3 linked regions of the Saccharomyces cerevisiae S288C genome follow. The gene in region 2 interacts genetically with the main gene of each other region. Each region holds a gene or a part of one and is shown on either strand. Other genes may lie near its edges. The genes, in order: SSH4, TUL1 and PIB1.

Region 1 (4,322 bases), 160 kb from region 2:
TTACTACTAATAAGAGTAAAGATGTTTCAAGATTACTTAGTGCATTAGGCCCACGAGGCGTATCTATAACTCCAGGTAAAATTGAAAAAATAGCACAGTCGAAGAAGAAAAATAACAAAATAAAAGAATCGAGTAAAAAAATAAAAGGTAAGAGCATCCAAGACATTGTTGGTTTAGCCACCTTAATTGTCAACACAGATGTCGAAAAGAGCGATCCTGCGGCTAAGAAAACTGCTACAGAACCGAAGCAAAAAGCTAATGCTGTGCAAAATAACAATGGTAACTCTGCAGCTTCAAAAAAGAAAAAAAATAAAAACAAGGGCAAAAAAAAGCGTTAAATATTTCATGTATACTAGGAGATTGAATATGAAATAAAATACTATATATATATATTTAGATATAAACCCATCTAAACTATCGAATTGAAGAAAAAAAAGCTAGTAGGAATGTATATATTGTGTATGCGTAAATTGTAAAAAAAACCAAATTCATAATGTCTCTTATTTTCTCGATCTGTTCTTCTTTTTAGAAGATTTGCCTCTGTTTCTTTGACGTTTTTTAGTAGATTTATTTCTAGGGTTCTTATTGATAGCTCCATCTGATACTTCACGGGGGGTATTTGAATTTTCCGGTCTTTTATTGCCATCATCTTCCAATAATGGCGAATTTTCATTGCAACCAGCGTTCTCATCGTTGTTATTAACATTGTTATCGGTGTTGTTATCGTCGGTTTCAAGACTGTCGTGGTAAACATTATTTTCTCTGTCAAAGTTAGAAGAGATTCTTTCATACGTCCCAACAGACCACAGGGGCTTACTAGTTTGCGCCGTTATCCTAGAGGATGACCCTTCTTTTACCTTCATACTACCAAAGAAATTATCAGTGTCAGCATATCTTGGTGGCAATTCTTCTCCTTTCTGTAAAATAGTATCCTTCTTGATCTCGGTTCCATTATACGCAGGAGGAATTCCAATTTGGCCATAAACACTCCCAAACGCATATTTTTTCACATTGGCTTCTATAAAGACGAACCCAACTTGGCCCAAATTAACATGTAATTCAACCTCATCTGACGTCATTTCATCACTTTCATCATGTGGATCGTGAACTCTTTGAAGATCTTTGGCGACTTCAATATCTTTGCCTTCAGAGAGAGCTTCACGGAAGCTAACATTATCCGGGTCTTCCAATAGACCATCCCTCGTATATGTTCTTGTATATGCGGCATTAAACGCGCCAATTCCAATGAAAAGATCAATGCCAATATTTTGTGTTACATCCATTAATTTTTTCCCATTATGTGTAATGAAGATTGTACCTGTTTTATATCTGTAACCGAATCCTACCGTGTCACCTTCTTCCAATTTTGGTAATAATGTGCTGGCAGTGAAGGGGTTATTTATCCTCAGTTTACCTGTGGATTCGTATGCAATGGAGTATTTGGCCATGCCCGGTACCCTGAAATAAGGATATGGTACAGTAGTCAAACCTATACTGAATATACTATTGGACTTTTGAATATGTCTGAAAATTTTAACTTCGAAATACACTGCGTCCTTCCTATTGTGAGGTAGGGGATAGTTCATTACAGTGGATGAGCTCTTATTGAACTTTGAAAATTGAATATCTAGTTTATCCTGGACAATAAAACTGGGTAGAAAGTTTCCATATTCGTCTATATTATCATTAATGCTTGGTAGCAAAAAATAGCTTTGAATGCCACGATCCTTAATAAACTGCTGGTCGTCACTGTCCAAATACGTGCCAAAGTCCTTCACCATTGGCGGGCTCATCATTTGAAACTCTTTCGCTCTTATATACAACTCAACCTCGTACGCTGACATCTTTGGTAATTCTTCAAGTTCTCTTTCCTGAAGAACGATCTCATCATCAAACCCGCCAGGGGATGCAAAACTCGAATCCAACAAGATGCCACTATGTTTTTTACCAAACAAAGAGTGCAGAGTTCCTGAAGTTCGTGTACCTAAGGCGTTCTCTTCGTCGTATTCTGATTCATCATCACCACAAAAGGTGACATATGCCGCTATTACTACCAAGATGAGCATTAATATTGCAAACGTAATAGAAAGACTTATTAAGAAAGCCAAACTAATTGCTGCAGAATCTGAATCCATAGGGGGAGTTGGTACCATGTTAGGGTCACCTACTTTGAAGTCATGATTCGGACTCTCTAGATTACCAAAAGAACTATCCAAAGCCTCATTAAAAGTGACATACATTGCTCTTGTATACCTTCAAGTTTTTTTCTTCTTCCTAGTTACAAATAAAATAGATGAAAAAAGAGCTATTACTGCTTGTTCTGTTTATTTCGATTAATAATACCCACTATTGACTTTACTGAATATAAATATGTGCCAAGTAATCTAAGTACAAGCTGTTCGGATAGCTGAGATTTTGACTCAGGAACCCCTCCCCACAGAAACTCTTTAATAAGTAGACCTGCGAATGTAAAGCGCGCACGTAGTAAGTGACGAGAACAAACAAGCGTTCTAAAATGCAAAATATCGTGAAGAGTACACTGTGGAAAATAAAAATACTAAGTTTCTATAGTATCTAGAAATCTAAAAAATGTGTTAAATGCATTTATGCTATATATCCTCATTTCAACTATTAATGGGGTGACTACAGTGTATCATTAGTTTGTGACGGGCATGTCTCGAAGATACCTATGAAAAAAGACCTTAGTCATCCGACCCATCACTTTCATATTCCCCGCTTGCTTCACTCCACTCTATGTAGTATTCCTTCATTAAAATTTTATAGTTTTTCAGAAACAAAGGATCATATGGGAAGTAACTCTGTAAGTCAATAAATTGTTGTCGAGTGGCTAAAGACCAAGAAGACGATGTGGTATTTGCTTGTGCGGAATTTTCCTTCTTGTCGCTATCAGCTTTGCCGATGATTCCCCTCAATCTTTCATTGTTGTTATTTTCAATTATGCTGAAACAGTACGCGACGCTTTCTTGTTGGGCAATACGAGCAAACATCAACATGACATTTTCATTACAAAACTTTAATGGGTTAAATTTTGAAATGACCATTCTTTGAAAGAATTTGTCCAGTTCACACTCCCAGTTACCATCTGTATCTCTGAAGATGTTATGTCTGAAACAGAAAATGTAACAAAGTGCTTGAAATGCTGCATAGAAATGTTTAAACCTTTCCATACCTCCACGTTGATCAACTTCTTCTTCTCTTTCGATAACGTATCTATTCAACCAGGACGTTAAATAGCTTGCAACGAAAATAATTTGAGTTCTGGATAGTTTCTTGGCCCTCGCAATGTACGACCCCAAATATTGTAATGACTTAATTTTCTTCTCTGCTGCTTCGTTGACGGCAAACGAAATATCTATCAGTGTCACTAAAAATGAATCCATTAGTTCTAATTGTTGTTGTGAAACATGGAACATGATATATTGAATCGACCTGGTATAGTACGTGGGTAGAACATGCGTTTTAAATAATGTTGTTAGAGTGTTGAAGACTCCTACGCCTTCACCGCTTTCTAAACTCTCCGGCGTCACTTGCTCTTCCACATGCGTGCTTACCAAAGTTAAGATAGAGTCCAATTTGGTGGAAAGTTCTTTGATTCCCTGCGTCAACTCCACATTATATTCTTCAGTACCGTCCATACCTTCAATGATGTCCATATCTTCACTATCACTTTGACTACCGTCGGCTGCTCCAGACCTTAACTCTTCATTACTGTTCCCACAATTTTCATCATCATCGTCTCCTGAATCATCATCTAAATCGTCGTCATCCTCTAGATCAACTTCCTCTAGATCATCGTCATCTACATCATCATCTAATTCATCTAATTCATTTTGTAACTCGACATCAATCGAAATAATCTTTTCTATCAGTAAGGACCAAATTTGGAATCCTAGCTCAGAGCAGTAGCCTCTCAATTTCAGCAAATTTGAAGTGTAATTAACCAACTTTCTCCGAGTATCATTTTTATTTGGGAAAAATTTGGCCAAATATGTATCTATGAATCCCATCGAGGAGGGAATCATCCTTAAGAAATATTTAAGCATATCATGATGACACACTGTCTGTTTGATTGGTAAAATAAAACAAGATACCAGTATCATCGAAACGTCTTGCCACCATTTGGGTATACTCGAGCAAAGGATTTTGATGAAATATATATATTTACTTAGAGTGTGTGGAGGCAATTCCCACCACTTCTCAAAGTTTATGATAGATTGTATGAGGAAAGTTCCCCTGGAGGATTCTATCCTGTTGATATTACTAGATAAGATATCCAAAAGAATATTGAGATTCTTATCATT
Region 2 (4,512 bases):
ATTTAAGAGATTGCAATGCAACATTTCTTTCGTCGTACTCATCTAAAGTTATTGGTAATTTGTAGTGTTCGATCACCCTTTTTCCTGCTTCCGGTCCCGGAAGCCCTTGCAATTTAATCTTCACATCCCAAGTTAAAGGTCCCTTACCAAATTCTGCGAGAGTTTCATTTAAAGTTTCAGTATAAATATCCTCTGTGTTGATGAGAAGACCATCCATGTCAAATAGACATGCCTTCACTGCTACAGGATGTGTCATAATTTGTTAAAAAAAAGAAATTTACTTTTGCGTTCTTATTGTCAAAGAAACAAAAGCAGTGTAATTGGAAGGCAGTGACGGTCTTAAGATTCCCCAACTTGGAGTTGGAGCGATTTAGATTCACCTCAATGGATCTTGATCGGCAATATTTTCCCAATAATTAATTCCTCGAAAAATGTGTCATACGGAAAAAGGGTAACACTAAAAACCCTTGTGAATTATCCTAAGTCTAGTTTGCCTATTGTATATTTAAGCAAAACTACTTTAGTGGTAATAAAAAGTTAATGCACTATTCATGTAAAATTTCTTATTGCAATGGTTGACAAATAGGAAATGTCACGGTATCTTGGATCTTGAATACAAATACAGTATATAGTTCTTAGGATCAAGAGATGCTATCTACAACGGAGGTAATGGTGACCTACACACAGGACATTGTAACTTATAATTCATCCAGTTTTCTAGACACGAAGTATGAAATACGTGATTACAAGGCGTTACCATGTAAGAGTGCTGATCCACCTTATGAGTTTCTGGAATTTCCTCTATGTAAATTGGAACATCAGACATACATATCGCGCAATCAACGGTATGTTCAGCAGTTCCACCACCATGCTCCGATATATACTCGTTTGAAAGGGGCTTGAAATACGAATATCCATCAGGTATTGTGTGCTTAGGCAAGAACCAGCGCGATCCCAATACATCTTGAGAATACAGTATACTAATTTGAAACAGTAGCCACAATGATAAAAATACGACGAAATGAACATCTTTATGGTGCCTGAACACATTAGAGGAGTAAGTGAAAACATACACAACGGGCAAGCTTCTAATTATTGTTGTACCAATTACAAAACTCCACAATAATGGCATTTTGTTTTGACTTCTATTTCCTCCAATGCTAGATCTTGCTCTTTCTCTTCTTGAAGGAATACCTTTAACGGCGTTACGGAAAATTTGAGGGATCCAATATGAGTTTAATATGAAGATTAGGATATACTCAAATACCATCCTTAGCTGACGGGGCCATGAAGTTGAACTCAATATTAAAAACGTGAAAATGATTAGCATAAAGAAAAACCTACCATATAACGAGCCACCGATAGACCCTTCATCGGGAATGAATGCGGGTCTTGGCCTATTCTCATCATATGTGCCAGTGTTACCACGCAGGAGGTTGATAATCCCAACATTCTGTTCGTTAACCTGTGAAGCGTAAATTGAAATTAAGTAGCGTATTTCAAAAATAGATGCCAAGATAAAGCACGAAAAAGCACTTATAACTAGGGGTAAGTACAATTCGGGAACGACACTAGCTGCGACAAAGTACAAAGTGGCCAAGGAACCATCGACTAAGTTTATCATTGAGAAACAATAGAATGAGATTTTGTTGACCATGGAGGGGGTATTTGTATGATGCATCTGAGTAAGCAATAAGTATATCTGGGCTGCAAATAATGCAATACCGAACAATAGATGTTTTCTGATCGACATTATTTTTAATTCGTACCGTGTACCCTTTACGTTATGAAGCCCTAATCGTACGCCACAGTCTGGAGAATACAGTAATCCAGAGACAACATTTATGGGCGGTAAACTAGACAGATTTGCCGGACGCCCCAGGGGCCAATTCAATTCATCATCTATTAACTTGATCTGATCTCTTGTGTACTGATTCCATGGTTCCAACTGAAGAAAAATCAAATACTCACATTTAAAGTTGGCATTATTATAAGCATCCTGTACGTCTTTCATGGTCATGACATCTGTGTAATCCGTGAAATTCCAAAATTCATCAACGAGTTCCTTGACATCATTAAATATTTTCTCATTATAATCATTCTGGAAGGACATGTAATGAGGAAGGGCGAACAATGAATGAAATTTAGAACTCTGAGAAATAGAAAGAATTCTACCACGTTGAATGTCATATACAGCCTTCGAGTATATGGAATGCTTTTCCTTTTCAGCCTTATCTGAGAAATCAATCTGAAGATTTAACAACTTCCAACGGTCATTTTTCTTATTTATGAAATTTCTCCTTAAGTAATTATTATTGTCCTGAAGATTGCTCATATGAGAAATTTGAATAGCTATTTCGCCATGCTGAAAACTCACATTATGAAGTTCGCCATACGAAGGCCACTCAGACCAGTACGTCTCACCTTCAGGAGGAATATCCTCTGAAAAATCAGTTGCCGGCTCATAGAATCTGGGTACAGGCATCCTTATCTTTTCGTACTTGTTATTTGATACAAGGTCGATTTTACCTAACAGGGTGCTTGTAATATTGGGAGGGAAAAGGTTGGAAGCGTCATCATTCGAAGTATTCCAGACTTCAGTATTTATGGCCTCTATGACATCGTTGGGCAAAACCATGTAGTTTTGATTGGGAAACCATCGATCATAATCTTTTCCTGGTAGTGGGTAAGTGGCATTTTGGAGAGGATTATTCAGCATGTCTTGGTAGCTGAGTTTAAGCCCGGTAATATTTCGAAAACTATCTGTATATGTCATATTGACGAACGTATTGTGCTCTGTTCGGAACTGCTGCTTGAGTCTCTGGAGTTGATTGAACTCATATTGAGAAGACACACCATCACCACCCGGTGAGGAGAAAAATAGGAAAAGGATCACTATTATGAACACCAGAGTGTTGCCATCGATTTCCATACTGTACTTTTGCCTCTTTTGCTGTAGGACTTTCCTTTTTTGCCTGAATTAGTAGAAATACGGGACAAATGTAACAAACGAGATTGAACTTGCTTTTTTACAATATCTTTTGGGGTGATAATTGAAAGATGACGATCCGAGCTTGTCACCTTTAACTTACGTTTATTCTATTTCCCTAAAGTTCACAGACCCTTACCCCGCCAAAGGAAAATCTCTATATATACTGAAGCTACGCTTAACAAATATATAACATGACGTGAGTGAAGAATTATGAACACTAAGCTTCTTTTGCATTTTTTTTTGCTTCTGTATAAGTCTAAACATATAAATGTGTATATATTAGAGATATATAACCCATTGAAAAAAAAAAACTGCGTGTAGTAGAATAAATAACCTAACGGAGAATTGAAAGTAAAAAAGGGATTGCAAGCCGCACCTTCAATGTTCCAAGATTTGCAAATTACCAGTAACGACAACATTTTCCAATATGGAGCCGTTTGGAATATCGATTTTATGACCGTCGGAGCAAACGATGATGACAGTACCCCTCAAAGTGACATCTTTACCTAAAAAGACGTTACCAGTGATGGTCAAATGATCTAGCTCGACGATTTTTGGGATGTGAGGGATTCTTGCGTTAAAACCAGAAACCTTTTTGAAATGCGAGCCCAACTTGATTAATGGGTTTGGACCAAAACGGGATGGGTCTAACTTCAAAGAACCGTGTTCCAGACGGAATAGATCTGATTTAACCAGCAACAAATCGGAACAGGTCTTGACAGGCAAGAATCTTGATCTTGGAACGACAACACCGTGAGCACCATCAAAATGCCTGATAGCAGCACCACAAGCGGTTTCTAATTGTAAGACATTAATTTCATGACCGTCTCTTGTTATAGTTTTTTGGTTTGGAATGATTTCCATCTCCAAATTGCTCGATTCGATCAACCTCTTTACTGCTTTCAGATTGATCCATAAGTTATTCGTGTTGAAGTTGGTAAACTTTCTGATATTTTTGAATTCGTCAATGTGTTCTTTTGGAACTTGGGCGACTTCCAATAAACGGACTTGACCATCGTAAGAAATCAAAGTACCACCTTTAACATCGGCTCTGGTCTTATCAGTCAATTCCATTATATATTCGGCACCAGTCTCGATCATGTGGTTTAAAATTTTTAAGTCGACGGTAGCACCCAAGTTGTCACCGTTAGAAACAAATAATATTTCTCTTCCTTGGGCAATTAAGGCATCCAGTTCACCAGATACGTGTAAAGATTCAAACAAATCACCGTGACCTGGTGGATACCAAGCATCCAGTGGAGAATCGTATTCGGTGGGGACAGGCAATAAAGAATCCTTGTAGACTCTTGGGAACCTGGATTGATTGAAAGATCTGATTCTGATTCTGTTAGCGGAATACTTCTTAATCAAGTGTTCCGTATCCTTGTCAGTGTTGAAAGAATTCATCAATAACAATGGCACGTCGCTATCGTACTGTCTGTTCAAGTATTCAATTTGACGAACAGACAAATCCAAAAAGGTGTTTCCCTCTCTCACTTCAATAACAGATTTAGGGCCAA
Region 3 (3,241 bases), on a different chromosome or scaffold from region 2:
TGGTATTTGTTCAGGTAAAGTATTACATCATGAATTTGTTCAAAAATCAAGCGAAGAAATCAAAGCCTTAGAAAAGAGACACGCTGCAAAAATGAGGCTGAAGGAACAAAGAAGAAAGGAACAAGAAGAAAACATTGCTAAAAAAAAGGCTGTTAAAGATGCTAAAAAGCAACGTAAATTGGAAAGAAGAAAAGCTAGAGCAGAAGAACAGGGTGAAGGTCAAGGGAAAGATGGTGCAATGAGCGATGATGGATCTTCATCGAGTGAAGATGAGCATTATAGTGATGTACCAGAGGATTTGGATAGTGACTTATTCAGTGAAGTAGAATAATGCACGATATGTATATATATCCTCCGTACGTAACATCACTATCCATATAGTAGCCATGACTCCGATGGACTTAAAGAACCAGGAAGTGTCTGTTTATTCATAGGTGAGGGAACACCTCAAAGTAAATATTAATGAATATATAAGATCATAATTAAACAAATATATAGAAATCTTTTACAATTAAAGAAAAAAATAAAAGAAAAGGGAAGTTAAAACTTCGATTATTAACAGCTGAAAAATTAAACTTTGTAATGAAAAGCAAATTGGGAGTTATCGTTAAAATACGGCATCATGGAAAGGACAAAAGTTCCTTTTAACAAAAGCATGTCCATTTCCCTTCTGGGCTGCAGTCATTTGCGCCCTTTTGTGAAACCAGTTCTTAATACACTTATAATGGAAAACACACAAGCATTCTAGTCTCCCAACTTTCTCACCGGGTTCCATATTCTCAAAACAAATCGGGCACTCCTTAATTGCATTATCTGTTGTATTAGGCGATATCTTGTACACTAACATTCTATTTTGAAAGGCAGGGCTTTCTTTTACGGAGTCATCTGCTGCATCTGACGTATTCGTATGTTGTTGGGCATTTTCAGCTCTCTGTATGCAATCCTCTACGTGCTTTCTGGTCTCTTCTTCATCAGGAAACTGTGTGAGATCTGAGTTACAAATAGGGCAGAAGTGATCCTCCTCGTTTTGTGAACTTTCTTCGCTCCTGCATGCCGTACCGGATTGATCTACCGAATCTTCCAGGATTTCCGCGTCTTCATCAGTGTTGCTATCTGGTGCAGAAAGTGCAAGTGCATTTGGTGGTACCGAAGTTTGCGATAGTCGTACATCTCTGTTGGTGGAGGATACTAGTAGATTTAAATGAAGGAGGTTATCGTAGCACTCATTACAAGTTCTATATGGAGGCGATTCCACGTCGCTATTTTTTTTCTGCAAGGCATGGACTCTCTTTTTATTATAATTAACAAAATTTTCGGTACAAGACGAACAAAATATCCTTCCACAACACCTACAATGGTGTCTTCTTACGAGAAACGAAAAGTTCGTCTTGCATTGAAAACAGCTGTGAGCTTCCTCGTCTGCCTGCCACCTGGCAAGATTATTGATACAGTCCTCTTTAATAACCATGCGCTTTAGTTCTTCATATGTTCTTTTCTAGCAGAAAAAAAAAAAAAAAAACAGCAGTAGTGTACAGTGTTTGATCAGGTTATTTCTTAATCGTCCGTCCCCTGTTTACTATAAATCCCGAGAATAGTTCTACTTTTTCTTTTCTATTCTTCTCTTCGGTGAGCTGCTTCGATGCCCATTACCCGGATTCCATGATACTCCGCTATTTCACTGGCCCTTATCGAAGATTTCCTTCTCCAGAGATATGATTATGCACAGGCTTCCATACGCTCTATCGATCGTGCAAACATTTATACCCTCTGCGAAACAGCGTCGAATCCATTTTACTTTAGAAAAGGTGAAATACGATGTAGTCAATGGTCGTCCAACGTTTCTTCATTATTTCCAACATTACCGTACTCAGCATTTAATCGATCGTTAACTCGTAGCTTTCTTAATAGAATGTCCCAGAACGAGAGTCCCAGTAGTACTTTAGTTTGCTGCTTCAAAAGCTGGACTGCTTTATAGTCTGTCTCTTTGACTAGAATGCTTTCAATTTTCGGAATGGCATGGCCTTTTTTCTGTTTAAAATCAAATCCACTTACCACATCCAAATACTTGATTTTTTGCATCTTTCTTTTACCTTTGTTATACTCCTTTATCAGGCATTTAATATCAACTTCTTTGCTAAGCGGTATTAATTCAAATCCATCAGGCTTAGTTTCTTTCGAGTAAATTTCGATGTTGCCAAATTTATTTTTATAATGCGACAAATCTGTTATCACATGTTCCTGTCCTAAATGATCGCAATACGTGCTGGGGTATTTAGGAGACTTCATTGTTTGCTCATACGAAAACAATTCTTTGATAACGTACTTGTCTAGGTTTCTTACCATCCTTTCCCTCATCGGTAGATACTTTTTACGTTTTAATGGTTGAGCATTAGGTAGAATGGAACGCCCTAATATTGCCCAGTGCTGTTTACTCTTTAATTGAATGACGTCTCTTCTCCAAAATATGGGCTCTTGTGAATTGTCTCCCTTAGTAAATGTTGCGGCTTGTTTTGCACATGCTTTTAATACTTCATTAGACTTTAACAGAGAGGGAATCACGAAATTATCTGTTCTTTTAATCTCTGTCACACTCTTTGGTAATGTAAAATTAGTTAAAGCAATCTTTTTCATTATTGCGTAATGATGAACAGATGCTTTTTTCTTGTTCAAGACTTTCAACCACTTAGATAGATATTGGTAGCTAGTGTAATGCTTCGATTTCAAAATAGGAGAAGACTCAGATAATTCAAAGTACCTGTAACAAACATTTGGCACATATCTTGGTGAAACATCTTGTAGTACCTTTTCAGCATGATTGATACGGACTACATAATGAAACTTTTGGTTTAGGTTGTACTTCATGTCTACCGAAGGTTGATAAGTAGGGACAAACTGATCTTCGCGTGTTTTCAAGACCATTTCACGTTCACCCAGATGGGCTATAGGGTCAATGATGTATAATTCACCATCGCTCAAAGTAGGAACTTCTAATTCAATCCAAAAATAAGGTTGTATTAGGTCAGAGTCAAATCTGTTGGGAACTTTGCCAATACCATGTTCGATTTGCCACTTCACCTTATTGCACCTAATATCGTAATCGTGCAAGGGCAAGGCAAAGCATAAGTAAAGCTTCTTAGGCCCCGGTAGCACATTTTCTAAGATAATAAAGAAGAACAACGTTAGAATATCTCTGTTGGCCATTTTCCTTTTAGCCATCTTGCGAATATCTTCAACACCATGA

Evidence for each region.
Region 1: of TUL1 (region 2) and SSH4, changing one enhances a phenotype caused by changing the other (phenotypic enhancement), as found in Saccharomyces cerevisiae (one study listed by BioGRID).
Region 3: of TUL1 (region 2) and PIB1, changing one enhances a phenotype caused by changing the other (phenotypic enhancement), as found in Saccharomyces cerevisiae (one study listed by BioGRID).

What each region holds. Positions count from the first base shown.
Region 1 is NC_001143.9:208,511-212,832, reverse strand, and holds SSH4 (Ssh4p), read right to left. Parts: upstream 2,241-4,322; coding exon 501-2,240; downstream 1-500. Other genes in the region: signal recognition particle subunit SRP21, read left to right, coding at 1-338; RRN3 (rDNA-binding RNA polymerase I transcriptional factor), read right to left, coding at 2,703-4,322. UniProt on the Saccharomyces cerevisiae protein: Components of the endosome-vacuole trafficking pathway that regulates nutrient transport. May be involved in processes which determine whether plasma membrane proteins are degraded or routed to the plasma membrane.
Region 2 is NC_001143.9:370,249-374,760, reverse strand, and holds TUL1 (ubiquitin-protein ligase TUL1), read right to left. Parts: upstream 2,933-4,512; coding exon 656-2,932; downstream 1-655. Other genes in the region: YKL033W-A (haloacid dehalogenase superfamily protein), read right to left, coding at 1-256; UGP1 (UTP glucose-1-phosphate uridylyltransferase), read right to left, coding at 3,371-4,512. UniProt on the Saccharomyces cerevisiae protein: Catalytic component of the DSC E3 ubiquitin ligase complexes that tag proteins present in Golgi, endosome and vacuole membranes and function in protein homeostasis under non-stress conditions and support a role in protein quality control.
Region 3 is NC_001136.10:1,088,612-1,091,852, forward strand, and holds PIB1 (phosphatidylinositol-3-phosphate-binding ubiquitin-protein ligase), read right to left. Parts: upstream 1,469-3,241; coding exon 608-1,468; downstream 1-607. Other genes in the region: SSF2 (rRNA-binding ribosome biosynthesis protein), read left to right, coding at 1-331; RAD34 (Rad34p), read right to left, coding at 1,822-3,241.